Linked DNA regions of Mus musculus. The protein of the gene in region 1 binds, or shares a complex with, the protein of each later gene. Links are inferred from orthologs where the notes say so. Each region holds a gene or a part of one and is shown in the gene's direction. Other genes may lie near its edges.

Evidence for each region.
Region 2: Srrm1 (region 1) and Snrpd2 share a complex: the UniProt entries of both Homo sapiens proteins name them as parts of the minor spliceosome. The link is inferred for Mus musculus from reciprocal best matches to the Homo sapiens genes SRRM1 and SNRPD2.
Region 3: Srrm1 (region 1) and Rbm48 share a complex: the UniProt entries of both Homo sapiens proteins name them as parts of the minor spliceosome. The link is inferred for Mus musculus from reciprocal best matches to the Homo sapiens genes SRRM1 and RBM48.
Region 4: Srrm1 (region 1) and Dhx16 share a complex: the UniProt entries of both Homo sapiens proteins name them as parts of the minor spliceosome. The link is inferred for Mus musculus from reciprocal best matches to the Homo sapiens genes SRRM1 and DHX16.
Region 5: Srrm1 (region 1) and Snrpg share a complex: the UniProt entries of both Homo sapiens proteins name them as parts of the minor spliceosome. The link is inferred for Mus musculus from reciprocal best matches to the Homo sapiens genes SRRM1 and SNRPG.
Region 6: Srrm1 (region 1) and Bud13 share a complex: the UniProt entries of both Homo sapiens proteins name them as parts of the minor spliceosome. The link is inferred for Mus musculus from reciprocal best matches to the Homo sapiens genes SRRM1 and BUD13.
Region 7: Srrm1 (region 1) and Rbmx2 share a complex: the UniProt entries of both Homo sapiens proteins name them as parts of the minor spliceosome. The link is inferred for Mus musculus from reciprocal best matches to the Homo sapiens genes SRRM1 and RBMX2.

What each region holds. Positions count from the first base shown.
Region 1 is NC_000070.6:135,329,147-135,332,646, reverse strand, and holds part of Srrm1 (serine/arginine repetitive matrix protein 1), read left to right. Parts: intron 1-408; coding exon 409-489; intron 490-839; coding exon 840-926; intron 927-3,129; coding exon 3,130-3,274; intron 3,275-3,500. UniProt on the Homo sapiens protein: Part of pre- and post-splicing multiprotein mRNP complexes. As a component of the minor spliceosome, involved in the splicing of U12-type introns in pre-mRNAs. Involved in numerous pre-mRNA processing events.
Region 2 is NC_000073.6:19,148,387-19,152,637, forward strand, and holds the start of Snrpd2 (small nuclear ribonucleoprotein Sm D2), read left to right. Parts: upstream 1-1,451; 5' UTR 1,452-1,506; coding exon 1,507-1,508; intron 1,509-2,831; coding exon 2,832-3,011; intron 3,012-4,089; coding exon 4,090-4,251. Other genes in the region: Qpctl (glutaminyl-peptide cyclotransferase-like protein), read right to left, coding at 1-133, 590-799. UniProt on the Homo sapiens protein: Plays a role in pre-mRNA splicing as a core component of the spliceosomal U1, U2, U4 and U5 small nuclear ribonucleoproteins (snRNPs), the building blocks of the spliceosome.
Region 3 is NC_000071.6:3,590,048-3,593,547, reverse strand, and holds part of Rbm48 (RNA-binding protein 48), read left to right. Parts: intron 1-1,732; coding exon 1,733-1,878; exon of another isoform or gene 1,879-2,744; coding exon 2,745-3,325; intron 3,326-3,500. UniProt on the Homo sapiens protein: As a component of the minor spliceosome, involved in the splicing of U12-type introns in pre-mRNAs.
Region 4 is NC_000083.6:35,878,644-35,882,577, forward strand, and holds the start of Dhx16 (pre-mRNA-splicing factor ATP-dependent RNA helicase DHX16), read left to right. Parts: upstream 1-1,134; 5' UTR 1,135-1,268; coding exon 1,269-1,475; intron 1,476-2,634; coding exon 2,635-2,879; intron 2,880-2,986; coding exon 2,987-3,152; intron 3,153-3,378; coding exon 3,379-3,435; intron 3,436-3,798; coding exon 3,799-3,934. UniProt on the Homo sapiens protein: Required for pre-mRNA splicing as a component of the spliceosome. Contributes to pre-mRNA splicing after spliceosome formation and prior to the first transesterification reaction.
Region 5 is NC_000072.6:86,374,540-86,376,970, forward strand, and holds part of Snrpg (small nuclear ribonucleoprotein G), read left to right. Parts: intron 1-1,137; coding exon 1,138-1,160; intron 1,161-1,955; coding exon 1,956-2,080; intron 2,081-2,431. UniProt on the Homo sapiens protein: Plays a role in pre-mRNA splicing as a core component of the spliceosomal U1, U2, U4 and U5 small nuclear ribonucleoproteins (snRNPs), the building blocks of the spliceosome.
Region 6 is NC_000075.6:46,289,512-46,293,011, forward strand, and holds part of Bud13 (BUD13 homolog), read left to right. Parts: intron 1-614; coding exon 615-832; intron 833-1,796; coding exon 1,797-1,899; intron 1,900-2,183; coding exon 2,184-2,322; intron 2,323-2,554; coding exon 2,555-2,739; intron 2,740-2,936; coding exon 2,937-3,018; intron 3,019-3,500. UniProt on the Homo sapiens protein: Involved in pre-mRNA splicing as component of the activated spliceosome. As a component of the minor spliceosome, involved in the splicing of U12-type introns in pre-mRNAs.
Region 7 is NC_000086.7:48,693,520-48,697,803, forward strand, and holds the start of Rbmx2 (RNA-binding motif protein, X-linked 2), read left to right. Parts: upstream 1-1,484; 5' UTR 1,485-1,596; coding exon 1,597-1,601; intron 1,602-1,800; coding exon 1,801-1,916; intron 1,917-3,881; coding exon 3,882-3,933; intron 3,934-4,284. UniProt on the Homo sapiens protein: Involved in pre-mRNA splicing as component of the activated spliceosome. As a component of the minor spliceosome, involved in the splicing of U12-type introns in pre-mRNAs.

The sequences.
Region 1 (3,500 bases):
TCTGCCCCTGCGCCCCTGCGCCTCTGGCCTCTGCCTCTAAGAGCTAGGATTAAAGGCGTGTGCCACCACTGCCCAGCTGGTGCAGGGTTCTTGCTAGCCCTGTAGAACTAGTTTTTGAAGCTTTCCATGTTTAAATTTTAGGTTAATTTTTTCATGTGAGGAGTCTAACCCATTCTTGTGCTATTAAAACATTGTTCTGCTGGGCAGTGATGGCGCATGCCTTTAATCCCAGCACTTAGGAGGCAGAGGCAGGCAGATTTCTGAGTTCGAGGCCAGCCTGGTCTACAAAGTGAGTTGCAGGACAGCCAGGGCTATACAGAGAAACCCTGTCTGGAAAACAAAACAAACAAAACAAAACAAAAAAATTGTTCTTTTTATTGTGTGAGGTTTATTTTTCTTCTTTTTTAGTGACAAAACATAAAGGTACTGAGAAAAGAGAGTCACCTTCTCCAGCACCCAAGCCTAGAAAAGTGGAGCTGTCTGAGTCTGGTAAGTTGTAATGATTTTCTAGAGGTTGGTTTTCTGTTTTTCCTTCCGTGTGTGATTATTCCCTGGGGTTGGGGATTGATTGTCCAGGGCACCCAGTAGGGAAGAGCTGAAGGTGACGTCACACAGACTTTCTGCAATTCCCAGCTGTGGCATTTAAGTGTGCGCTGTTTGGTTATTCGTCCAGGACCTCATTCTTTTTCTTCTGTATTTGGACAAAATTTTGGGTTTGGACAGCTGGCTGGGATGTTTATAGCATTCCTATCTTATGGACTGGGCTGATGCCTTGTGTTGTGTGTCACATTACCTGTGTGTAACTAAAGAAACACTGTCTAAATGCACCCATCTTTCAGAAGAAGACAAAGGCAGCAAAATGGCTGCAGCTGATTCTGTGCAGCAGAGAAGACAATACCGACGGCAGAACCAGCAGTCTTCATCTGGTATGGACAACAAGCGAATGAGCGCCTTCCACTCTCACACCTGTGGTAACCCAGCACTGGGAGGCTAAGGCAGGAGAATTCCTGTAGAGTGTGAGGCCAGTAAGGGCTGCATAGTGAGAGTCCCCAGAAGAGCAAAGCGGAAGAAGCCTGAGATCCTGTGGTTCAGAAGGTGGAGGCAGGAGGGGGAAAGCTCTGTTGTTCTTGGCTACATTGTACATTTGAGACCAGCCTGGACTAATGAGACCCTGGGGCTCTCCCCCCACTCCACCCCGCCCCCATTTTGCAATGTTATGCCTGTTTGTATTTCACTTGCATGCATGTCTGCACCATGTTTACATCTGGTCCCCAAGGAGACCAGAAGACAGGGTATCAGATCCAGTGAGAATCTGGAATTAGAGACGTTGTGAGCCATCATGTGGGTGCTGGAAATTGAACCGTTTGCCTTCATGGGTTGTGTTTGGGCCATAGGTCTCAGTTGGGCACTGGGTATTTCTTTCTTGTTTTAAGCCCTTAAATTTTGCTTTTAAATTGCTGTATTGTTAGGAAGGTAATAAATCTGGCTAGGAACATGGCTCTGGTAGAGTACAGCGTACTGCGTGCACAGCTCTGGGCTCTATTCCCAACATTATTAAATATAACATAATTGGACCCAAGCGTTGGTGGTACAAACCTTTGATTCTAACACTTGGGAGACAGAGGCAGGCAGGTCTCTTGAATTTGAGCCCAGCCTGGTCTACAGAGTGAGTTCCATGACAGCCAGGGCTACACAGAGAAACCCTGTCTCAAAAAAAAAACAAACAAAACAAAAGGTAGTTGGCGTAGAGTACAATAGTAAAACAGAAAATGAAATTGGAAAGACTAATTTATTCCCTAATATTTGAGTCTACTCCTAAGCCTTTCTGCAACTTTGTTCTATATAATTAGGAGTCTCTGGTTTAGATGATCATACTAGTTTTTTATGAATCTACTTCATTTATTACTAGTAGCTATTTGGTTGTGTTTTGTTTTTGTTTGGCCTCACTATGTAGTTGGGCTAGCCTGGAACTCACTGTAGTTCTGATTGTTTGATTAAAAAGAAAGAGCACAGAAGCCTAATGTTTAAGCCAGGGGCTCTGTTCTTGTGTTACTTACTTGGGTTTTGTGTGGCTTTAGTTTGGTTTTGGGTTTTAAGAAAATGTCCCATGTAGTCCAGGCTTGCCCTGAACTTGCTTTGTAGCCAAAAATGACCTTATACTTGTAGTCTTTTTGACTCCACCTAAGTGTTGAGAGTTGAGCTTTGCACCACTGGACTCAGTTTATGCAGTACTGGGGTTTGATTCCCAGGGTCTCCCATGTGCTGAGGCAAGCTCTCTACTCACAGCCACACCCTCATCGCTCAGGTTATAGTTGTAATTATTTTCTGGTTCAAGTGGCATATTGATACTTTTTTGTTGCTTTCTTGCTGCTGATGTGCAACACATGCTGGGTTGGGCTTTTCCAGTGAATTTGACCGTCAGCCCTGAGGTTCTTTTGAAGCCTTACCTTATTAATTGGGAAAGAATTCACTAGAGTTTTGTTGCGAGGCTCATGTTGGACTTCATATTCTCCGTCCTTCACCTCCCTGTCATCAGATGTGCACATACACCAATGAGCCTGATTTTACATCCCTGGATTTTTTTCCTAAGAGATCCGTGCAGGCCTTAGTACTTTTGAGATATACTAGTCTTATATTTGCTAGTTTTCTGCTAGGTGTGGACTGTTGACTGTCACTAAAATTGTACTGATTAGATTGTCCTGATGGGGGCTGGAGAGATGGCTCAGAGGTTAAGAGAGAGCACTGACTGTTGCTCTTCTAGAGGTCCTGAGTTCAAATCCCAGCAACCACATGGTGGCTCCGAACCATCTGTACTGGGATCTAATACCCTCTTCTAGTGTGTCTGAGACAGCTACAGTGTACTCATATAAATAATAAATAAAAAGTGTAGGTTGTCCTGATGGTACTGAGAATTGAACCCATGGCTTCATGCCATCCATACTAAGTAAACGTGGAGTCATTGAGTCTTAACCTCTAAGAAACGTTTTTCCCAGTGCTGGGTGTAGAACCCAGGACCTTGAGCATGCAGTGTAAGGGCCCAAGGGGTACTACAGGGGGCAGTGAGTGAGTGTGTGTGTGAGTGTGTGAGTGTGTGATATTTTGTTGTTGTTCTTTGCTCTGTGATTACAGACTCTGGCTCCTCTTCCACCTCAGAAGATGAGCGGCCCAAGAGATCCCATGTAAAGAACGGTGAGGTAGGCAGGCGGCGGAGACATTCCCCTTCTCGGAGTGCCTCTCCATCACCTCGAAAGCGCCAGAAAGAGACTTCCCCTCGGTAACAGCCTTCGTTAATAGTTCTGACTGTCTGTGGTTGGGCTGGAACTGTAGTGTATAGCTTGGCCCTCGAAATTACTTTACAATTGGGCACATTCTTCGTGTCAAAGCTGGTTGGGTTTGGGCTTTTAACCGGTTAGTTTGTTTTTTCTTGCTGTTGATAGTTAACATTAAAACTAGACACGTTTTCAGTGACTGCCTCATTTATGCATGAATAGAGCAGTTAA
Region 2 (4,251 bases), on another chromosome or scaffold:
GGAGATTGCCAGAACTACCCGGGGGTCGCACAATCAATAAGGGACGCAGGAAAGTTCCCCAGAGACGCTGCGGATCCAGCTGCCCTACCACCAGCCGCAGCTTGGCTTCTGAAAGGCTTCCGATCAGCGGGACCTTGGTTGGGAAATGGGATGGGAAAAAGAAAAATGAAAACAACCCCATTCCCACCTTATCCTGGGCGCCGTTGCCTACTAGGAGTCCTGGCTCTTCCTGGTAATGCAAATCTCCAGCATCAAAGATTTCCTAGACTGGGAGAAATCTTCAAAGCAAATCTGGTCCAGCCTACCGCAGTCCTAACGAGGAAATTGCAATCGGGTGATGGAAATTTCTAAATAGATGGCTTGGGCATAGAACTCAGTTCTACCAGTGTTGCTATGAGGACTCGTCATCTTCAGTGGGGTCTATCACAAAACAAGCCTGAAGCCTTATTTTGTTGGGTAGGGGCACGCGCTCAAGTCATGGATAAATGGCACAGGCGGCAAAAGCCAAATGATAAGACCACGGTAACCTGAGACTCAATACGAAGGGAAAGAGGGAAATGACGCTGGCTGGGCACCAGCCAGGGCTCACCCGCAGATCCCGGCTCCGTGACATCTCCTCAACCCCAGGGTGCCAGCTGTTCCAGACGATATAGAAAGCCAAGCCCATAGCCAGCGCCAGCAGCAGCAGGGGCAGGAACTGCACTCGCGGCAGAAGACGGCGCTTGGAAAGTGAGGGTGGTTTCATGAGGCCACGATCCTCGAGCCGCTGCCGGGGCCGCCCGCGGCTCCCGGGACTCATGGTAGCTTTGCTCTGAAACCAATCCCGGTATGGTGGTTTGAGTTTTAGGCCAAGATCCGCCTCGCTGAGGTTACAAAACCCAATAAAGAAGCAGAGTAACTGCGTCCTTCCCTGAGACGATTGCGATTGGCTGTCCTAAGCGCCGCCCCACCCAAAAAGGAGGGCGGAAACCTTAAGGCCCGCCTCCACGGAAGAGGACCAGTCAATGGGCTGCGTCCGAATGTGCGAAACCTTCCAAGGCGCGGGGTCACGCCCCTCACGGAAGTCGATCAAGAAACTGTCGTTCAAGGAAAAAAGGGGCGGCATCCATCCCTAAAACAAGGAGCCGATTGGTTTACCTGAAGCCATGCCCTCAAGAAAAGTGTCCGAGGGTATTTGGAAATGGGGTTGTGTTTTCCATCTTCCAACTGGACGGTTTGACGGGAAAATAATTCTAGTCAGACCCCGTATTATTTTCCTCATGAGCAGACACCCTATTGTGATCCTCAGAAGCTTCAAATCCTCCTTATAGGCATTTTCTACAGGAGAGTGCAGCCTGAAGGGTCGCTATGGTAACAGGCCACGCCCACAGCCGCTGGTATTTGGTTGCGCAGGCGCCGACGGAAGTGAGCCGCAGGAGACGGAAGTCCCGCCCTTCTCGCCCTGTACGCCAAAGGCTGGAGCAACGCGCTTGGAGGCGGGAGTGATCTGCGAGCGAAACCTACACCATGTGAGGCCGGGCTGGGCTTTGGCGGGGCCGTGGAGATGGAGGTGGACAGTTTAGCTGAATAACGGTCGAAATGGGGTGTTTTTATAGCTGAGGGTAGAGTTCCTCGGGCAAAAGTAATGTTTTTCCTTCTGGGGTATTTGAGATCGGGCTTGGGGCCTCGCTCGGATCTTGAGTTCCGGAGAGGGGACAGCTTTATTCCATAACGGGCATGAGACTCTCCGAGGTCCTGAGTCTTGTGGAAAGGAACCATAAAGGGAAAGCTGAGTCTGATGGCACATGCCTGGAATCCCAGGCCTCGAGAGGCTGATGCAGGAGGTTCGCTAGTTGGCCTTGGCCAGCTTCATAGCGAGACCGCTTCCAAAAGTAATAGTAATTTTAAATGGAAGTGGTCTTATGAATAAAGAGCTTGGCGGGGAAGGAAGAACTGTTAGAAATAGTGAAAAGTATGGGACGTAACCAGGATAAATTAGAGAACCTAACTAGAGACTGTCAGAGTAGCAGGGTACTACAGTGGTTTGGTGCGTGTTTATTCATTGAGCATATACTATGTAGACTGCTTGTAAGTTAAGACACATGGTAAATAAAAGGTCCTTGCCTCCAAGGGGGTGGGGGAATCTCCCTGGTGCTTGTAAAAAGAGTGGAGTAGGAAAGCCATAGAGTAATAAATAGGTACATACACCTTAGATAATCAGGTTTGGATGGAGAATTGAGCAGGAAAGATATAATGCCAGTAGGTAGCACAGTAGGATGCATTGAAAGCCCAGTTCTTGGGATGCAGATTTAGCTCAGTGGACAGAGTACTTACCTACTGTGGGTACTGGGTTTGGTCCTTAACCACACACAAACTAGACATAGTGGCACGTGCCTGTACTCCCAATACTCAGGAGGCAGAGACAAGTCTGAGTTCTGGGGCAGCCAGGCTTCTACAGTGAGATGTTGTGGGGTGGGGCGGAGGTTCATGGAGAGAGATGATTGAAGTTTAGGTTGCGGATAGAAAGGGCCAAGGTTTGGATGTACCATGGTGGCAGATGACAAGATATAAGGATAGAGTAAGGTTTGAAAGAAGAATCAACTGCCAGGCATGATGGTGAGCCTCTGTCATCTCAGACCTTAGGCAGTGGAGTCAGGAGAATTGAGAATTCAAGGTCAGCGGTGGGTGGAAGAGGTTAGGTAGATGAGCCGGGGCAGGCTACCATGGAAATGTCTCTCCTGCCTCCAGAAAAGACTGCACCAGAAAGGGGGCTGGGGAGACACTGGACAGTGTGGCTTTGATCACGTACATTTCCAACTTGAACCCATCTCACCCCTGGGTTCTCTATCCAGGAGTCTCCTCAATAAACCCAAGAGTGAGATGACCCCAGAGGAGCTGCAGAAGCGGGAGGAGGAGGAATTCAACACAGGTCCCCTCTCAGTGCTCACGCAGTCGGTCAAGAACAACACGCAAGTGCTCATTAACTGTCGCAACAACAAGAAGCTGCTGGGCCGGGTGAAGGCCTTTGACAGGTGAGTGCTGTCTTGGGGAGGGCTGGGTCTGGGTCCGAGGGGCCTGAAGGAAAGGTCATTCCAGAAGGATAATAAGGTGGGCACACACGGTGACAAAGCACCTTTAATCTCAGCACTCGGGGAATCACTATGAGTTGGAGGCCAGCCAGTGTCTCATGGCACGACCTAGCTCAAAAATGTAGAAAGTGGCGATGCTTAACCTTTTTATAATACATATCTTACGTGTTTAGGTGTTTTGTCTGCATATGAGTCTGTATGCTATGGACATGTCTAGTAGTTATCAGAATCCCCTGGCAGGAAATTGGACTGGAATTTCGATATTTGATTTGTTTATCTGTAGACCAGACATCAGTGTCAAATATCTTGTATTGCTTTGTAGTTTGTTTTGAGACAGGGTCTTTACTATGTAGCTCGAACTGGCTACAGATGTGGCAGAGGCTAACCTTACACTTCTAATCCTCCTGCTCCCATCTCCCGAGCGCTGGGATTACAGGATTGCATGAAGCATGCCGTCCTGCTTTATTGTTTTAGTTAGCATGGGACTTGCCTTGTGACTTAGCCATACACATCTGGCACTGTACTTTGCTCTTATTCACTGTCCTCAAGCAAGCATTTGTGGAAAGAACTGATCCAAGTGTGAACAATGGCCACCCGGCCCCATGAGGACAGGACTGTGCAGCACTGGAGTGCGCGTGTTGGGAGCCGTGTCTAACCCCAGCACCCTAAGACCCTCTGGAGGGAGCAAGTGCTTCTCTCCTGCTGTTTCTCTCAGAGTTAGAGTTAACGCCAGAGCCAGGGCCATTTTGGTGGGCTTTACTCTGCTGGGTCCTGAGTTCTTTATTCATCCAATCTTCACACCAGCCCTATGAAATAGACTGTCTCCATTTCATGAAGGGGGAAACTGAGGCACAGAAGGGACACTATAAAGTGAAATCACTTTGCAGCCTGCCCATCCCCACTGTGGAGCCTGGGCTTTCCTTATGCCTGCTGCTGGAGAGTTCACACAGTGCCAGGCAAAGGTGGGCACTCGGAATGCCCCCCCTTACTCCAGCTTCCCCCCCCACCCCTACCCCATCAGGCACTGCAACATGGTGCTGGAAAATGTGAAGGAGATGTGGACTGAGGTTCCCAAGAGCGGCAAGGGCAAGAAGAAATCCAAGCCTGTCAACAAGGACCGCTACATCTCCAAGATGTTCCTGCGCGGGGACTCGGTCATCGTGGTGCTGCGGAACCCACTCAT
Region 3 (3,500 bases), on another chromosome or scaffold:
AATTGAATCCTAGTTTTATAAATGAATGTATAAATATGATCCAGAATTTCCTGGTGCCTTGGTTTCATCATGAGATGGTTATGAGATACCAATTTAAGTGACACACTTGTGGCTTTGCATGGGGTAATAGCTCAATAAACATTAGTGATTATCTGTAGATACAGAAGTACTTAATTACTACAGTGCTCGACTCAGCATAAGTGTTCAGTATTTCTTATTTTAAACATTATTTATTTCTCTTTATGTGTATGTGGTATGGTTATGTGAACTTTTATGCCCTATGCATTCAGGCCCCTGCAGAGCAGACGGGGGCATTTTCCCCTGAGACTGGAGTTACAGACAGTTGTGAAGTTGCCAGGCTGGGAACAACCTGGACCCTCTGGGAGAGCAGCAGTGCTCTTCACCCCTTAGCTATAGCTCTCCAGCCCCAGAAGGAACACACTCTTTATCTTTGCACTGATTAGTTGTTCTGTATTCAATATTTTCATTTATTCATATATGTGTATCTAGGAGGGCATGCCATGGCTTGTGTACAAGAGATAGTTCTTTCCTACCGTGTGAGTTCCAGAGACTGAACTCAGGTCACCAGTCTTGGTGACAAGCCCAAAGTTACACATTTTACTCAAGTTCTGTAACTCAGGCTAACCAGTAGGATCCCAAGTTAGTTAAAAAAAACAAAAAGCCTAGGTAAGTGTGTCCAGCTTAGCTGAAAACGTATTCCATTATTAGGAGAGGGAAAGGGAAGACTCATTTCTTGGTGCTGGAGAGATGTCTCAGTGCTTAAGATAGCTTGCTGCTCTTCCAGAGAATTGGAGTTCATGTCTAGCACCCTTATCAGGTGGCTCACAGCAGCCTATAGCTCCGCTGGATCTAATGGCCTCTTCAGGTCTCTGTGGGCACCTGGCCCCTGGCCCCATATGTATAAACACACTTACATAAAAATAAACAAACAGATAAATCTTTTTCTTAAAGAGTACTTTCTGGGTCAGTGGAGTCATTCAAAAAACCAAGCATCTTTCCCAGGATTCCCAACACATACGTACGTACACACCCTTTGCTTCTTAAAACAAACTATGCATCATTTGTTAATCTTTTATCTTAGGTAAATCTTTATTTTAAATGCCATGGCCGGAGAGATGTCTCAGCGATAAGAGCATATACTACTTCTCTACAGGACCTGAGTCATCCCATCAACCAGGCCAAGTGTCTAACTCTAGCTCCAGGCTAGAGCCTCCAAACATACTTATACATAACTAAAAATAATTTAAAAAAATAAATTTTTCTGGATGCAGTGGTGTATGCTTTTAATCCTAGCACTTGGGAGCCAGAGGCAGGCCTCTGAATTTGAGGCCACCCTGATCTACAGAGTAAGTTTCAGAACAGCCAGATCTATATAGTGAGGCCCTGTCTTGGGGTTGGGGTGGGTGGTGGAGCCATGCATCTGGGGGCTGGAGAGATGACTCAAAAGCTAAGAGCACTTATTGCTATTCCCGAGGACTCAGATTTGGAGTGTGGTTCCCAGCACCCAGGTCAGGGGACTCAACTGTCTGAAACTCCAGTCCCAGGGAATCTATCACCTCTGGCTTCCTCAGGCAACTGTACTCATGTACACACACCCACATACAGACACACACACAGAAATAAAAGTAGTAAAAATAATTGTGTTTTTAAGCAATATAACTTATGCATTTCTTTAGAGTTCTCTTGATGTTATGTATTTCTTTCTTTCTAGGGTAGCTAAGAAAAAGATGGATGAACAGAGCTTCTTTGGAGGGTTACTTCATGTGTGCTACGCTCCAGAATTTGAGACAGTTGAAGAAACTAGAAAAAAATTACAAGAAAGAAAGGCTTATATTACAAGAGTTACTAAAAACCAAGGTATGGAAAGTGTGTGTTAACACCTCCTGTGTATCAGGCACTGCTAGGAATGTGTGTCACTGTGGAATTCCTGCCCAGTCACAGTCTTTGCTCTGTGCACCCCTGTAGAATCTCGGCTGGGAAGGGAGAGGTGTTGCTTCATTGAGATTGCCTCTGGGATGTGAGAGATAGTTGAATAGTAGTAAATGGTATTCAGAAGTGGGGTTAAAAGGATGGCAAGGTAAGGCAGGCTACATGTCAAACACTTAGACAGATGAATCGCCACCATACGTCTAAGGAGCTGCAAGTCCTACAGAGTAACCAAGGTCCCGAGGTTTTAGTGAGTGAGATTAGGAAAGTAGACAGGCAACAAATCATGGAACTTGTGGCCAGGCTTTAACATTAAGGCAGCAAGAAGCAGTTATGGTTTACAGACTGGTTCTACATGCTGCTCATCATGGGAAACTTCCAGTTGTTATAGTTGGGTGGCCCACATGTCCATCTGAGTTTCTCTTGGCACAAGGATGAAGTAAACATGGTTCTAGTAGGATACCCTGGAACTGTAGAAGCTTTCTATGCAATGGCGTGGAGACTCTAAGATTACAGTTAGTGGAAAATGTAAAAATATAAGTTTTATTGTCTCTCAAGTGGCTCCAGAGGAAGAGTGAGGCGTTCTAGAGTGCTGAGGAGGCGAAGCCTGGTGGTAGCCTGGGATCTTTCCGAAAGCCTTGAAGTCTTCCCGGTGCAGTCCCTGCTCTAGAAGTACCGTTTCGGGAGTAGAGGGCCTTAGCATAGTAAGGTTTGTTTTTAGAATCTCAAGATTCTGAATGATCAAAGTGATTAATGAACGATTTCTTTCCCTTAACTTTTAAAACTTGACTTTTAAGATTGTTACATGGCGAAGAAGAAACCAGTTCCAGAGCAGAAAGGAACAAAAGATTCTAGACAAGGTTTCCATCCACCTATGCCTGGATTTGGTACAGCTGCTTTAAACACATCTCCTGAGAGTCCTCCAGAGAACTCGAGTTCTTGTCTTCCTTATTCTTGTGAATTCCCTTTAAGCTGTTTTGCTTCCAAGAGCACATGTTCACGTGGGGAACATGTGGACAGAGTATCAGACTCCTGTAATAGTGCTAGGAACCATGGTGAACTGTCTAGGCATCGTGACCACAGTGCCTTTTCACCAAAGCTGCAGATGAACACTTACAAAAACTCCGTCCCTTGCTCTAGTGTGCAAGAGGCCATTGCTACCTCACAGGCAGTTGGCAGGTTCATGCCTAGGACAACACAGCTGCAGGAGAGGAAACGGCGGCGAGACTGTGATCGAGAACTGGGAACTCTGCTTGAGACACACACAAGCAGTAACGAGGTTTTGATTGGACCTAAGTTACCAGGTATCCCCACAGTAGATCTGCAGGACGACTCCTTGAATACAACGGCAACCTTAATTCGGAGGAAACTTAAAGAGGTGAGGTCTTTTTTTTTTTTCTTTTTTTTTTTTTAAATTGAGATAATTTAATTGAGAGACCAACACTTGATAGGAAATTATTTGGAGGAACTAAAACTTTGTAATTATTTGGTTTTGTTGTATTTTCCTACCTTTATTTTCCAAAATAACAAATTTGATCAATATCTGATTTGAC
Region 4 (3,934 bases), on another chromosome or scaffold:
TTTGTTTTTTGTTTTTGTTTTTTAAATGGTGAACTGGAGAGCTGGCTTCTCAATTAAGAACACTTAGGTTTAACTCCCAGCACTCACGTGATGTCTCAAAAACACCCCTAACTACATTTTCAGGAGATCCAATGCCCTCCTCCAGATTCTGAGTGGTATACATACTTGCAAGTAAAATGCCTACACACACACACACACACACACACACACACACACACACACACCCAATAGAGGGGCTGGAGAGATGATTCAGTGGTTAAGAGCACTTGCTGCTCTCAGAAGACTGGTGTTTGGTTCCCAGCACCTATATCAGGCAGGTCCCAACCACCAGTAACTCCAAGTTCAGAGAGACACAATATCTCTGACCTAAAAGGGCACACACACACACACACACACACACACCACACACACACACACACATACTGTGCAGATAAATTCATGCAGGCAAACCCACATGCACATTAAATAAATAAATATTAAAATCTTATGATACCCAAACTCCCACCTAAATGTATTTATTATGTACCTTTAGTTTTTGTTGTTTTAATTTTTAATATTTTAAGTTAGGCCGGGCGTGGTGGTGCACGCCTTTAATCCCAGCACTCGGGAGGCAGAGGCAGGCAGATTTCCGAGTTCGAGGCCAGCCTGGTCTACAAAGTGAGTTCCAAGACAGAGAAACCCTGTCTCGAAAAACCAAAAAAAAAAAATTTATTTTTAAAAAAATTAGGTGTATGTGTGTTTGTGTATGAGCACGTGCACACAAGTGCAGGTGTCAGAAGAGACCAGAGGTGGTAGATCCTCCTGGATCTGGAGATATACGTGGTTGTTGGTGAGGGATGTGGGTGCACCGAATCGAACTCGACTTCGCTGAGCCGTCTCTCCAGCCCTTTGTTATATATCTTGTTTTCCTAACCCTGATTTGTACGTCTTTTATTTATCCCAGCTGTGGGAACTAGTTAGTCATCACTGACAGCTTGTATTGATAGAGAACTGCACCCGCGCACAGATCATTAGGGGGCGACGGAGAGCTTGGACGAGGCTGTGCATGAAAGCCTCTTGCACTTAGCGTCGGGAAAGAGGCTGCGCGATTTGAACCCGCCCAGCCACCGTCGATCCCTGGCCGGAAGAGCGCGACTCTTTCCGGGTTTCGCGGTCTGTGGAATTGGAGTCTCTACGGCAGCCGGAGCGAGGCGGTAGTACCGCAGGCTCTGTCCCCGCCGCAGTCCTGGCCGTTCCGCGGTTGCGCGCCCGGAGCAGGACGCGTCGCCATGGCGACGCCGGCGGGGCTGGAGCGGTGGGTGCAGGAGGAGCTGCACTCGGTGCTGGGGCTGAGCGAGCGGCACGTCGCGCAGTTCCTGATCGGCACCGCACAGCGCTGCGCCTCCGCCGAGGAGTTCGTGCAGCGCCTGCGGGACACCGACACCCTGGACCTCGGGGGGCCGGCGCGGGACTTCGCCCTGAAGCTCTGGAGCAAGGTGTGTGCCGCCGGGGCAGGCCACTCACAGCCGAATTGGCTCGTACGCAGTGTGGCTGTCTATTCTGTGATAGCCTGCAACTTTCAATATAGTACACAGGCTGGCTTAGAACTTGCAGCGAGCCTCCCTGGTAGTGGGGTGACAGAGAGACCTTTCATTCTTGGTTCCGCCCACCATTTAATTTTTTTCCTCTGTTATCTAGATATCATGCTAGGTGTTGGGTGTATACAGGTCTGTGGAGAAGACTCGAGATGGGGCTCTACATACATGTTTAAGCTAGAGCCATTGTTAGTTACAGCACATACCCCAGGCCTAAGGATGTAGCTCAGTTGGTAGAATGTTTGTCTAGCATACAGTAAGCCTTGGATTCAATCCCCAGCCCTGGGAAAGAGTCACTGAGAACAGAGCTAGGAGAATTAGCATTTAGGAAATAGGATCGAGGCTGGGGAGGGATGGCTTAGCAGTTAAGACCCCTTGTGCATCTGGAAGACTTGAGTTCAGTTCTCAGCAACCAGGCCTAGTGGCACACAACCATCTGTAATTCCAGCTCCAAGGAGATCGGAGGGCTTCTGGCCTTTGCCAGGTACCCCATACACATAAATAAATGAAAAATAAATCATGAAAAGAAAATGGGTTTTAGAACATAAACTACTTAAGCTCAGAACCAATACTTTAAAAAAAAAATTCTATCGTGGGGCAAGAAGAGATGGCTCAGGGATTAAGACCACTTGCTGTTCCTCTAGAGGAACCAGGTTCAATTTCTAGAACCCACGTGGCAACTCACAACTGTAACTCCAGTTCTATGAGATTCAGCACCCTCACACACAGCTCACGTTGCAGGCAGAACACCAGTGCACATAAAAATAAAAGTAAGTCATTAAAGTTAGGAAGAAGTTTTAGTTCGTGCATATGCCCGTGTGAGGCTGTGAGCGTACAACCTGTGAGAGCTGGTTCTTTGCCTCCACCACGGGATGGCTTTCAGTAATCATTTGCTCAGTGGATTCCTAGAAGGACGTTCAGAAGCTGCGGAGCCCTGTTGAGCTATGACCGTAGAACAAGACCACGAAGAAGAGAAAGATGGAGACAGGCTTTAGATATAGTAACCGGTTCGTAGGCAAATGAGGGTACTGAGGTCAGGAGCTGTCATATCTACCGGCAGGTGCCACGGAAGGCTGTGGTGGAAAAGCCAGCTCGGGCAGCTGAGCGAGAGGCCCGAGCCCTGCTAGAGAAAAACCGTTCTTATAAGTTGTTGGAAGACAGCGAGAGCGGCGAGGAGGCAGTGGGTAGTAACGGGAGCAGCCTCCAGAAGAAGCGGAAGAGACGGAAACACCTCAGGAAGAAACACCAGGAGGACGAGGAGGACGAGGAGGAAGAGGTTTCCGAGTCAGGGAAGAGGAAGGCAGGGTAAGTCAGAAGGAAGGAGAGGGATTGGAGCAGGCTGTCGGCTGTGGGGATGCTAAGCTTTCTCAGTACCCCCGTTTGATACACTGGGCTGGGTTTGCTGGGTTCAGGGGGAGTAAATCACCCACGGAGGAGAAGCCAGCCTCAGAGGATGAATGGGAAAGGACGGAGCGTGAGCGTCTCCAGGACTTGGAAGAACGGGATGCCTTTGCAGAGCGGGTTCGGCAACGGGACAAGGACCGGACCCGGAATGTCCTGGAACGGTCAGATAAGAAGGTGAGCTGAAGAGAGTCAGTCAGGCAAGTCTGGATTTGGCTGCAGAGTTGTCTCTGGGAAGACAAGAGTTGTCACTAGGGTTCCCCGTGGGCTCACTGGCTATGGTTCTCCCTGTCTGGTTGAGATCGACAGAGGTTCTCCACCGAGGAGGGGCAGCGAAGGACATTAGTCATCCTGACAGCAATGGTACCTTTGGCCTCACATCCCTTTACATGATTTCTTCTAGGCCTATGAAGAGGCTCAGAAGCGCCTCAAGATGGCTGAGGAAGATCGGAAAGCCATGGTGAGACCCTGGGTTCAAAAAGCAGTGTCTGAAGACAAAGATGGCTGGAGTGGTCGGCCGTAGCAGGAAGGGTCACAGAGGGAGTGTGCAGAGATGTGTCTGGGTGGTCAGGCTCTAGAGGAGAGGGGCCTGCCTGACAGGAACCGGAAAAGAGTGGACTTGGGTTGTAGAAGGAGAAAGTTACAAATCCTCTCGCCTTGGTAAGATCAAGTCATTGTGTCTCTGAGACTTGATGAGACACAAAATAGCTAGCACCAAAAGGCCCCACATCCTCCTCTTTGGAGTTTTGCACACTCTGAGTGTGCAGGGAGCAGGGTTTCAGTGCTGGTAGGATGAGGACTTGACTGTCCCTTCCTGACCCAGGTCCCTGAGCTCCGTAAGAAGTCTCGTCGGGAATACCTGGCGAAGCGGGAGCGAGAAAAACTGGAGGACCTGGAGGCGGAACTGGCTGATGAGGAGGTCCTGTTTGGGGACGTGGAGCTGAGTCGCCATGAGCGCA
Region 5 (2,431 bases), on another chromosome or scaffold:
CTCTGGGACCACATGGTTGAAGGAGAGAACCAACTCCTTGAAGTTGTCCTCTGACTTCTGTATTGGCACCATACAAACAAATTTAATTTTTTTAAACATTTATTTTATTTATTATATTCTACCTACATGTATGCCTGCATGACAGAAGAGGATGCCAAATCCCCATTACAGATGGTTGTGAGACACCATATGGTTGCTGGGAATTGAACTCAGGACCTCTGGAAGAGCAGTCAGTGCACTCAACCTCTGAGCTATCTCTCTAATCTCTGTAATAACAGAGATCTCTGTAATAACACACACAAATGTAACCAAATCTTTGTAATTACATTAGTGTAAGTTCCCTAGCCCATGTCAACAGTTCCGGATTTGAGGCTGGGAAGATAACTTGGCAGTTAAGGGACCTGAGTTCAGTTCCCAGCATCTGCACTGGGCAAATCACAACTGCCTATGGCAGCTTTAGGGTATCTGATGACAACTGCCCTGGTACACACACACTCATATCCAAACAGTACAAGATCCTTACTGCTTTAAATGTTATGTGTCTGGGGTACAAATTGTAGGTTTGGTTTGGTTTGGATTTTTACATTGGTTGTGTAAGTGTGTACATATGCCAGGTATGGAAGTCAGGACATCTTAAAGAATTCATTCTCTGCTTCCAGCAGTGAGTTCTGGGAATCAAAATCAGACTTGGCAGCAAATGTTCTTACCCACTGAGTCATCTCACCAGCCCAGATTTTAGCAATTTAAGAAAAGGAAAAAGACTTAACTTTGCCTGGTGGCACACCTTTAATTTTCCACACTGGGGAGTTGAAGGCCAGCCTGGTCTACACAGTGAGTTCCAGGATAGCCAGGGCTACATAGAAAAACCCTATGTCTCAAAAAGACATTTTATTTTGTATGTGAGGGTGTGTGCATTTGAGTGTAGGTGCCCTGGGGTACCCTCAAGCTAAAGTTGCAGGAGGTGGTGAGTCACCTGACATGGATATTAGAAAGAGATCTCAGGCCCTCTGGAGGAACATCGAACCCTCCTAACATCTCATCCCAGCCCAAGCAAATCACTTTAATTTTACTGATTCTGTGCTTGTTTGTGCTTAGAACTTTTTACATAAGTCCTAATTTTTGCTCTTGCTTTTCCAGGTTTATGGACAAGAAGTTATCATGTAAGTTTGCATCCACCTCAGCTAACTACTTGGTTTCTTTTTGTTGTCTTGGCAATATGTAATCTTTGGAAATGTGTTATAGAAATTTAATATATAAGACATCTAATTCTTCTCCACTAATCAGATTTGTCAGAGTTCTAATTAGACTTTTTTTCTTTGCCTTCTAATTGCATTATCTTTAATTACATTATCTGTGCCTCCCTGGCCTTGAATTAGCAGTGTCCTACGTTATAATATTTAAAACTTTATCAGCCCCTTTCCTTTAAATATGTTACCAGGGAGTTGGACAAGCAGCACTTGATGTTTCTTGTGGATGTGTAGGTTTAACTAGAAACCTCCTGACCCATGCAATTGAAGTATACTGAAATTTTAGGATTTCTCTTCTCTACCATTCAACAGCTCTAAACTCTTGTAACTGGTTCATTTGTGTAAAGATACTACTTTACGTATAAATTTACTTACAAATACATTTATGTATAAATGTTGAGGCGGTTTTACTTGGGGGGGGGGGGACAGTCATTGAGACCAGATCTCGTTATGTGACCCTGTCTGGTCTCACAGTCCTCTTGAAGCAGCCCTCCTCTGTTGTTGCCAAGTGCTGGGATTACAGCCATGAGACTCACAGGTAATGTCTCCAGGGTCTTAAAGGCTAAGATATAGGCAAAGAAGAACTGGAATATTAGGATAGAATTAGCCCATGGTTAGGCAGATAGTAGGAGTGGTGGTCACACATCCCACCTGATCTATGATGGATGGTTGAACTTGGTTTACTGAGACTTCTTCTTTCTCTTACAGTGAAGTTAAACGGTGGCAGGCATGTCCAAGGAATACTGCGGGGCTTTGATCCCTTTATGAACCTTGTGATTGACGAGTGTGTGGAGATGGCAACCAGTGGGCAACAGAACAACATTGGCATGGTGGTGAGTAAGGGCAGCATCTCCAGGGTCTTCTCCTCCCTCCTTCACATTCCTCATATCAAAGTCTCAGATTAAAACCAAGTTAGTTACCGAGGAAAGGTAAATGAAAGGGAAGACTGGGCATTTGCACCTCCCCCTTCCTTTTACCTGTGGACACACCCAGCTGTGGTACTATTCCAGGTACCTACAGACAAGCTCTCACCTGCAGGACCCTCTCAGCACAGGTCTTGGAACAGCTAGCTGAAGGGATTTATTTTTGAGCTTTGCCCTGTAAGAGATGGGCACGCATATGCAGACTTTGACTACAGTACAAATTCTCTAGCATGCTTTTGATGCCCCAGGATATCTTGTTAA
Region 6 (3,500 bases), on another chromosome or scaffold:
CTGTTGCTACTACCTAGTACCTGCTATATAGTGGCTTTTCAGGAGGTGACTGGTGACACTGTCATCTAGAACAGGCCCCTGCAGAAAGGGTTTTGTTTTACTTCATCATTTGTTTTAGCTATAGTTTTAATCTTAAAATGAAATTACTTTGTTTTCTTGAGTCTGGGGAGATCAGCATATAGTCCAGGTCTTCCTGACTCTGCCACACCGCACGGGCCAACTCATTTCTGATGCCAGTTCTGAAGAGGGTGGCAGTGAGAGACTGTGTCTGAGATCTCATACGCTTTTCAAAGTCACCAGACACTGGTAGCCAGGAAACCAAGCCCCCGCCTTTGTTCTTCTCTGTGTCACTTGTGCCTGTGTTTTGGTTAGTCATGTTATTTCATAGGATGGCTAAAAAGACACCGTGCCCAGCATGGTAAGTTCTTTTAAGCAATCTCCTAAGGAGATTAATGGTCCTCCCCTTCTCTCCTGTGCTGAGGACCAAACCCAGGTCTGACGTACTAGGCAGGCATTTTACTGCTGAACCATCCCCATCCTTAATTCATTCTTTAATCCCTAGATTCTCTTAGACACAGGAGATTTCATAGACGCTTTTGTTCTTTTCTACTTAGGTGTCTACCAAAAAGCCTCTGATTCAGATCTTTCTCCTCCACGGAAAAAAAAAAATTCGGGGCACCAGGATTCTGATTCAGATCTGTCACCACCACGGAACAGACCAAGGCGGCAGAGCTCTGACTCCGACCTCTCTCCACCCCGGAGAAGACAGAGGACCAAATCCTCTGATTCTGACCTCTCTCCACCTCGAAGGAGTCCCCGTCCTGGCAAGAAGGTAGGTTTCCAGGAGTTGTGTCTTTCTTTATCAGGGTGACTCCTCCAGCAGAGAATGAGAAAGTGGTACAGGAAGTTGGAGTTAGAAGCATTTCTGGAACTTTCTCTGACGGTGACATGGGTGGAACTCGTCTTAGCTGGGCCTCAGTGAAGCTTGGGAACCAGAGTGTTGGAGTTTGAAGGCTGTGCTTCTGCACCCAAATGGTGCTCAGAATGTTGTAGATTTTGGACTATTGTGCATTTCTGGTTTTGGATCAGGAGTGCCCAGCTGCCTCTCAGAGCCTTGTAATGCCACCAGTCTCATCTCAGTGTCTTGTCTTTGTTGTTTTGAGTGTACTCCAAGGCTGGCCTTGAACTTCTGACCCATCTGCCTCTTCCCACCTGTTGATAGATATACAGGCTGGCACCACCTGTTTTCCTAACAGTAAATTGAGGCTTACAGATTATAAAGTGCAGTTAGAAGTGCAGAACCCTGTGAAACCAATAATAGCTGTAAATTCTACTTCTGCTACTTAGTATCTGTGGGATTGGACGAGAAATTATATTCCTCTAAATGTCAGCTTTTTGCTTTTTAAAATGTGCATAAGTGAGTTCAAAGCCAGCCTGTGCTGTAGGGGACTCTATCTTTTTTTTTTAAAAAAAAAAAAAAAAAAGAGAAGTCATGCAAATTCTTACTCCCTTCTATGTGCCCCATGTTTGTGTTTCTGTTTACTTTAAAATTTGATACCATAAAGTGTTCTATGAGATTAGATATTTCCCATTCTATGTTGTGAGCCCTGTTTGTGGTCAATACTGAGAATATAAAACTAGAGGTTTTGGTTTGGTTATAGCTAACAGTCAGGCACTGGAGCAGCTATCTGCCTCCTGGAAAAATGGTGTTGCTGTTGCCTCTTCTCTTGCACAGACTGCACACGTGTATTCCCCTTGCATAGGCTGTACACATGTATTCCTTTTCTCTTGCACAGACTGCACACATGTATTCCGGAGCAAAAACTGGGTTGGTCACTGATGTTCAGCGGGAGCACCAGGAACTCAAGAAACAAGACCAGGACACCACAGACCTCGGAGGTACAATTGTGAGCTTGCAGGGGCCACTGAAGGTCCTATAGCTCTCTTTTCTGTTGTTAATGTGGCTTGTATTTGCTATCGGAAACTTCCTTGCTTTTATGTACCTTACCTCAGTAGTACAAGCACTCCTTTCCTTCCCAGTATGTGAAAGAGTGCTGGTAGGATGGTCTGTCTGCAGAGTTCTTTCAGCAAAAGATCCCAAGCAGTTGGTTTCTAGTGCTAGAATGTGATTTCTGACTGTGATGCCTGGTGTGTATCTTTAAAATGTGTTTTTTCCTTCATAGCACAGTTTGAATTCACTGAAACTGTATTTCGAGACAAGTCTGGTCGGAAGAGGAATTTGAAGCTAGAGCGCTTGGAACAGAGGAGAAAAGCAGAGAAAGACTCAGAGCGAGATGAGCTATATGCCCAGTGGGGGAAAGGGTAAGGGCGCCCCTGAGCACAAAGCTAGACTGCAAGACCTGAGCCAGCCTCTGCCTTGCATTTCTGGGAGCTGATACGGGGCGAGCCTCAGGTGCACAGTCTCCTGAGATGGTTGGTTCAAGCTACCCGTCCGGATTCTGGGGCTGCTACAAAGAGGGAGTCCTCCAGGGCAGCGCTGTGGGCTCTCAGTATAGGAGAGAATTCTCAAGCAGGATGCTTCTTTTTTGCCCAGGCTTGCCCAGAGCCGGCAGCAGCAACAGAATGTAGAAGATGCAATGAAGGAGATGCAGAAGCCTCTGGCCCGCTACATAGATGATGAAGATCTGGATCGGATGCTGAGAGAACAAGAAAGAGAAGGGGACCCGATGGCCAACTTTATTAAGAAGAATAAAGCTAAGGAGAACAAGAATAAGAAAGGTGAGACTTGGGGTTGCTGGAGCTGGAGGTGACTGAGAGTTGTCAGAGGGCTGCCCCACACTACTGTAATGCCCTTGTGTTTGGAAGTTTGAATCAAAATAATAGGAACTTCCATGAAGAATTTTCTCCCATAGCCATCTAGCTCTGAATTAAATTGTGTCAGTAGCTAATTTCTTTTTTCTCATTCCTGTCTTTAGTGAAGCCCCGCTACAGTGGTCCTGCTCCTCCTCCCAATAGATTCAACATTTGGCCTGGGTATCGCTGGGATGGAGTGGACAGGTGAGTCTATTTCCTATATTTTTGTTTTCTCTTCTGCCTGACCTTGACCCTTTCTGGTTTTCGTTTCCTTTTTTTTTTTCTTTTTCTTTTTTATATTTATTTTTTCCTACTTTTTGAGACAGAGTCTCACTTCCTAGCTAGGCTGACTCCAACTCGTGCACTACCTCCTAGGTCATGGGGATAGAGCCTGGGGGCCACAGTAGGCTTTGTCCAGAGTCTAAGGTCCCTCCACCCTTGCTCTCACTCTGCAGTCACAGGGAGTAGCAAGCAACTCGTGCTTCAGCTCCTGAGCTCGGTATTTCAAGGCTTGGGTTTCTCCCAACTCCTTCCCATAAACTTGGAAAAGCTCAGGATGAGTGACGGACAAGCCCCACTTTGTTTGCCACATTGCTCATGCTCAGTATTCTAAGGGTTAGAGGGTGGACAAGGGCTGTGGTCTTGAGCCTTTTCTGTGTTGTAGGTGTTTTTGTATGTTTTGGGGG
Region 7 (4,284 bases), on another chromosome or scaffold:
CATTAGAATAATCTTTCCTTTCTTTAAGGTTTAGAATGCCATATGTAAAGGTGGAGGTATCAGAGCCTTGTTAAAGCTCATTAAGAGAAAGTTACTTCCTCTTGTTAAAAGAATGGATTCTGAGTTCTACCTCTGGCCCTAATGATGGAGACGTAATATTCTGATCAGCCTCAAAAGAGAATATTACATGTTGTCTCTTACCTTAAGAGTTCCATACTGCCTCTAACCACAACATTTGGGAGGCAGAGACAGGTGGATCTCTGTGAATTTCAGGCCAGCCCGCTCTACAAAGTGAATGCCAGGAGAGTCACAAGCTCTATAGTGAGACCACGTCTCAGGGGGAAAAAGAGAGTTCCATGCTTCTGAATTGGTAGAATAAATATTGTGAAAATGGGTATACTTCCAAAATTAATTTGCAGATTTCATGCAACACCTTTCAAAATTCTGATGTATTTCACAGGTTTAGAAAAATAACACAAGAATTGATATGGAACTACAAAAGACAATAGGTAGAAAAGAAATCCCAAGGAATAAGAACAATGCTGATAGCATTATAGGACCTGACCTCAAATTTTACTATAGACCTATAGTCATAAGGACAGCCTGGTATTGCTATAAAAGTAGACATTAATATCAATGAAATAGAATAAGAGAATCCAGAATAAAATGCCAAAGCTATTCCTATTTAATTTTTGACAAAGGAAGCAAAAACATATATTGGGAAAAAAATAACCTACTTAAGAAATATGCTGGAAAAACTGAATTTCTATCTGAAGAAGACAGAAATTATGTGAGTGCAAGTGCCCACAGAGGCCAGAGGAGGATCTTCTGAAGTTGGAGTTGTGAGCCACCTGTTTTGGGTGCAGGTTCTCTGGAAAAAAATCAGCAAATGGTCTTAACCACTGAGCCACCTCTCTAGACCTTCAAGCTAATTTTTTTGAAGCTCAGTTTTTTTCCTCTGTAAAATGGGGATGGTAACTGTATTTCATGGGGTTGTTGGGCGGTCAGCCTGGTCTACAGAGCGAGTTCCAAGACAGCTAAGGCTACACAAGGAAACAAACAAGAGATTGAATGAAAAATGCAAATGGCAGAAAGTGAGCCGCCCCCTGGGAGGCAGAGGTTTAGGGTAGGGGCAGGGTGAGGAGTGCTGGGAGGAGCCAATGGTGTGAGCCTTAGCCTGGGGTTTGAGATCTAACAGAGATAACGTGCATAAATTGTCTCTCATTCACAACCTTTAAGTTCTCTAACTCTTTAGTTGATAGGTACTAGTTTGACAATGCTAATTTTTGCCTGCTTGTTTATACGTGGGCATTTAATTCCGACTGGCAGAGGAACACAGGGTCCCCCCATCGCTCTCCATCAAAAAGGGGGCGGGGACTGACTTGGGAACTGTCCCTCCACAGGAGCGAATGCCTGAGAAAGCACCTTCACCTTACTGCGCAGGCGCCAGGGCTTAGCGGGCCGGAACTTCCGGCGGAAGTTCCGCCTCGCGGGCCCCGTGCTCCAATCTGAGCTGGGTGTTCGGGTCGCGGGAGCGCTTTGGAGCCTCACCCGGAAGCTGTTGTCGTCTGAAGCGAGCCGCGCGAAGATGCGAATATGAAGTAAGGATTCTGTTTCTCTGCGGATAGGGGCGGGAGTGTTCTCCGCGGAAGGGAGAGTGGCTTGAGGATGGCCGCCCAGAAAGGGCGGGGACCGGTCCTCGCCCTCCGGGCCTCCGGGCGGGAGAAGCTCGGTAGGGAGAGGGCGGGCTGGGAGGAAAAGTACTTATCGCACTTACCGGCTTGCCTGCCACCCGCGCAGCCCTCTGACTAAGGTGAAGCTGATCAATGAACTGAATGAGCGAGAGGTTCAACTTGGAGTGGCGGAAAAGGTGTCTTGGCACTCGGAATACAAGCACAGCGCCTGGATCTTTGTTGGTGAGGTCCCCATTTTTCTCCAGCAGTGCCTTTCAGAGTCCGCCCCGTCCCTTCCCCTCCCCTCCCCATCCCTCTCCATCCCTCTCCCCTCCCCTCCCCTCCTCATCCCTCTCCTCTCCTCTCTCCACCCCTTCCCCTCTCCTCCCTATGCCCCCTCCCCCGGTTATTTAGTGCCCCTGGTCATCGCTTCTGAACAAGCTCATCACCTCACACTCTGGAAGCTCCTCTGCTCACAGGTCCACTTTTCAGTTGCCTTCAGCGCTTCTTAGAATTGGTATTTGCCTTTCATTCTATTCAAAACCTTGCTACTTGGCTGCTCAGAGACAGTTCATTCCACAGTCAACCTATCACGATGTCAAAGAAACGGAGGCGCAGACAGGTTACTGGACTTGCTTAAGGTCACATGCTGCAGCACTTCAAAACTGTGGGGCTTGTGCTCTTCGTCACGGTCACATACCGATCGTGTGTGTGTCTGCCCTTCCTCACAATGATTTTTCTCCTCTCCTGGGCTTCTGCTCCTAGTCCTTAGCTGTACCGTGATGTACCTGGTCAGACATTAGCTGGATTTGAAGACATTAAGGCTTGATTCAAAATTAGCTTTACTCCGGCTGAACATTTGAAAGGCCACCTGAAAATGTGACAGGATCAGGGAAAGCTACTTCTGATGAAAAGAATAGAGTCTGGAGTACACCCCTGGCCCTGGGTAGATACCAGGACATTTTCAGGAAACCTACATGTTACATACTAGTGTGCCCCTTCCTTCAGACATAATCCAACAGAGCTTTAAGTCATCTGGCCAGTAGACACCTGTCAGGAAAGCTCAGTCACCGCCAGACACGCTAGGGACACGGGAGGGAAATGATCCCCAGTGCAGGTGGTGCTGATGTCCGCCCTAAGTCTACCTGCTGCTCTGAGGCCTCGCTGAGCCCCACCTCTCCCTTTCTTTCTGTTCTCTGGGTGCTGGCGGAAATCCTGAGCCTGCTTGCCCCTAACACGCTGGGCTTTCTCATCTCACATCTAAATGTTTTCCTGTCCCTTTGCGGCTACTGCTCTGTCCCCATTTTTGTGCACTCCTGCTTGCTCCACCTCCTAATTCTGAAGGCATGGCTGCCAACCCTTCTGTAGCTCCCTCCTCCCTCCTCCTCCCGGTAGCTGGCGAATCTTACACCTTGCCTCCCTATCAGCTCTCCCTCAAATGCTAACACAATGGACCTCAAGCTTGCCCTTTAGTCTGTTTTAGAATTATTTTACCAAGATTAGAGACTGAGAGCCTTTGTAAAAGGGGAACTCTTGAGTCTCTGGGGACAATATTACCTTTCGTGTATTCTCTTTATGTCACAACCAAAATCCCGCAGTTTGCCTTTTGAAGGGATTGTGTTAAGCACTTTATATGCCTCATTTTAGTTTATTTCCATAATACTCCTGTGAGGCAAATATGTTAACGTCCCCTTTTTGCATATGAAGGAGAACATTGAGGAACATGTGAAAGGCTTCCTGTGAACCGCTTAGCACTTTCCTTGATACATCCTAGTTTGCACGTGGGGGGCAGTAACAGTGTATTGAAGTCAGTGTTTATGAAATCTGAGTCTTGTGCTGGAAATCATGTGCTTTATAGGACTTTGGGTATGAAGACTCAATGATAAGATTAATTTGGTAATTTATGACCCTAGCCTTTCCCCTCAGAGTTAATTAGTTTTTTTCTTTTTCTTTTTTTCTTTTTGAGGCACAGTTTCGCTCTGAAACTCACTGTGTAGACCAGGCTTGCCTCGAACTCAAAGGGATCTGAGAGCTAATGACTTTTCTTCCAGACAACTGTCATCGTACCCACTCTGTCATTGTATTAGGCTGATAATTTCCAGATCAAGGCTTGTTTAATCTGCACCTCCAGTGTCTGGCCTAGTGCATAGCATGCAGTGAATGCTTGATTAATGCTTGTTAAACTGGAGAATGTGTGTTTTCTTCCAGGAGGGCTTCCTTATGAATTGACAGAAGGCGACATCATCTGTGTGTTCTCACAGTAAGTCCTCTGTTAGTTCCTATCTCCTGGATGCATGGAACAGTTTGCTTCCATAGTGTATTTTTGTAACAGCAACAAAGCATTTCAAGCTGGGTGTGGAGTTGTACACCTCTAATGCCACTAGACAAGTGCCTGAGATAGGAGGATCACTTGGGGTCTGCCTAGGCTCCATAATGCATTCCAGGTCAGCCTGCACAACTAAGTGAGATCCTGCGTCAAAAAGCCACCAAAGCTATTTTAATTCTAGGGATGTCTAATGACATCCCTCCATGGGGAAGGCTAGACCCTAGATCAGTCCCAGAGAGTTACCCCATGGGAGATCCCAGAGCTGAGATCGTTTGAGAGTCTGTC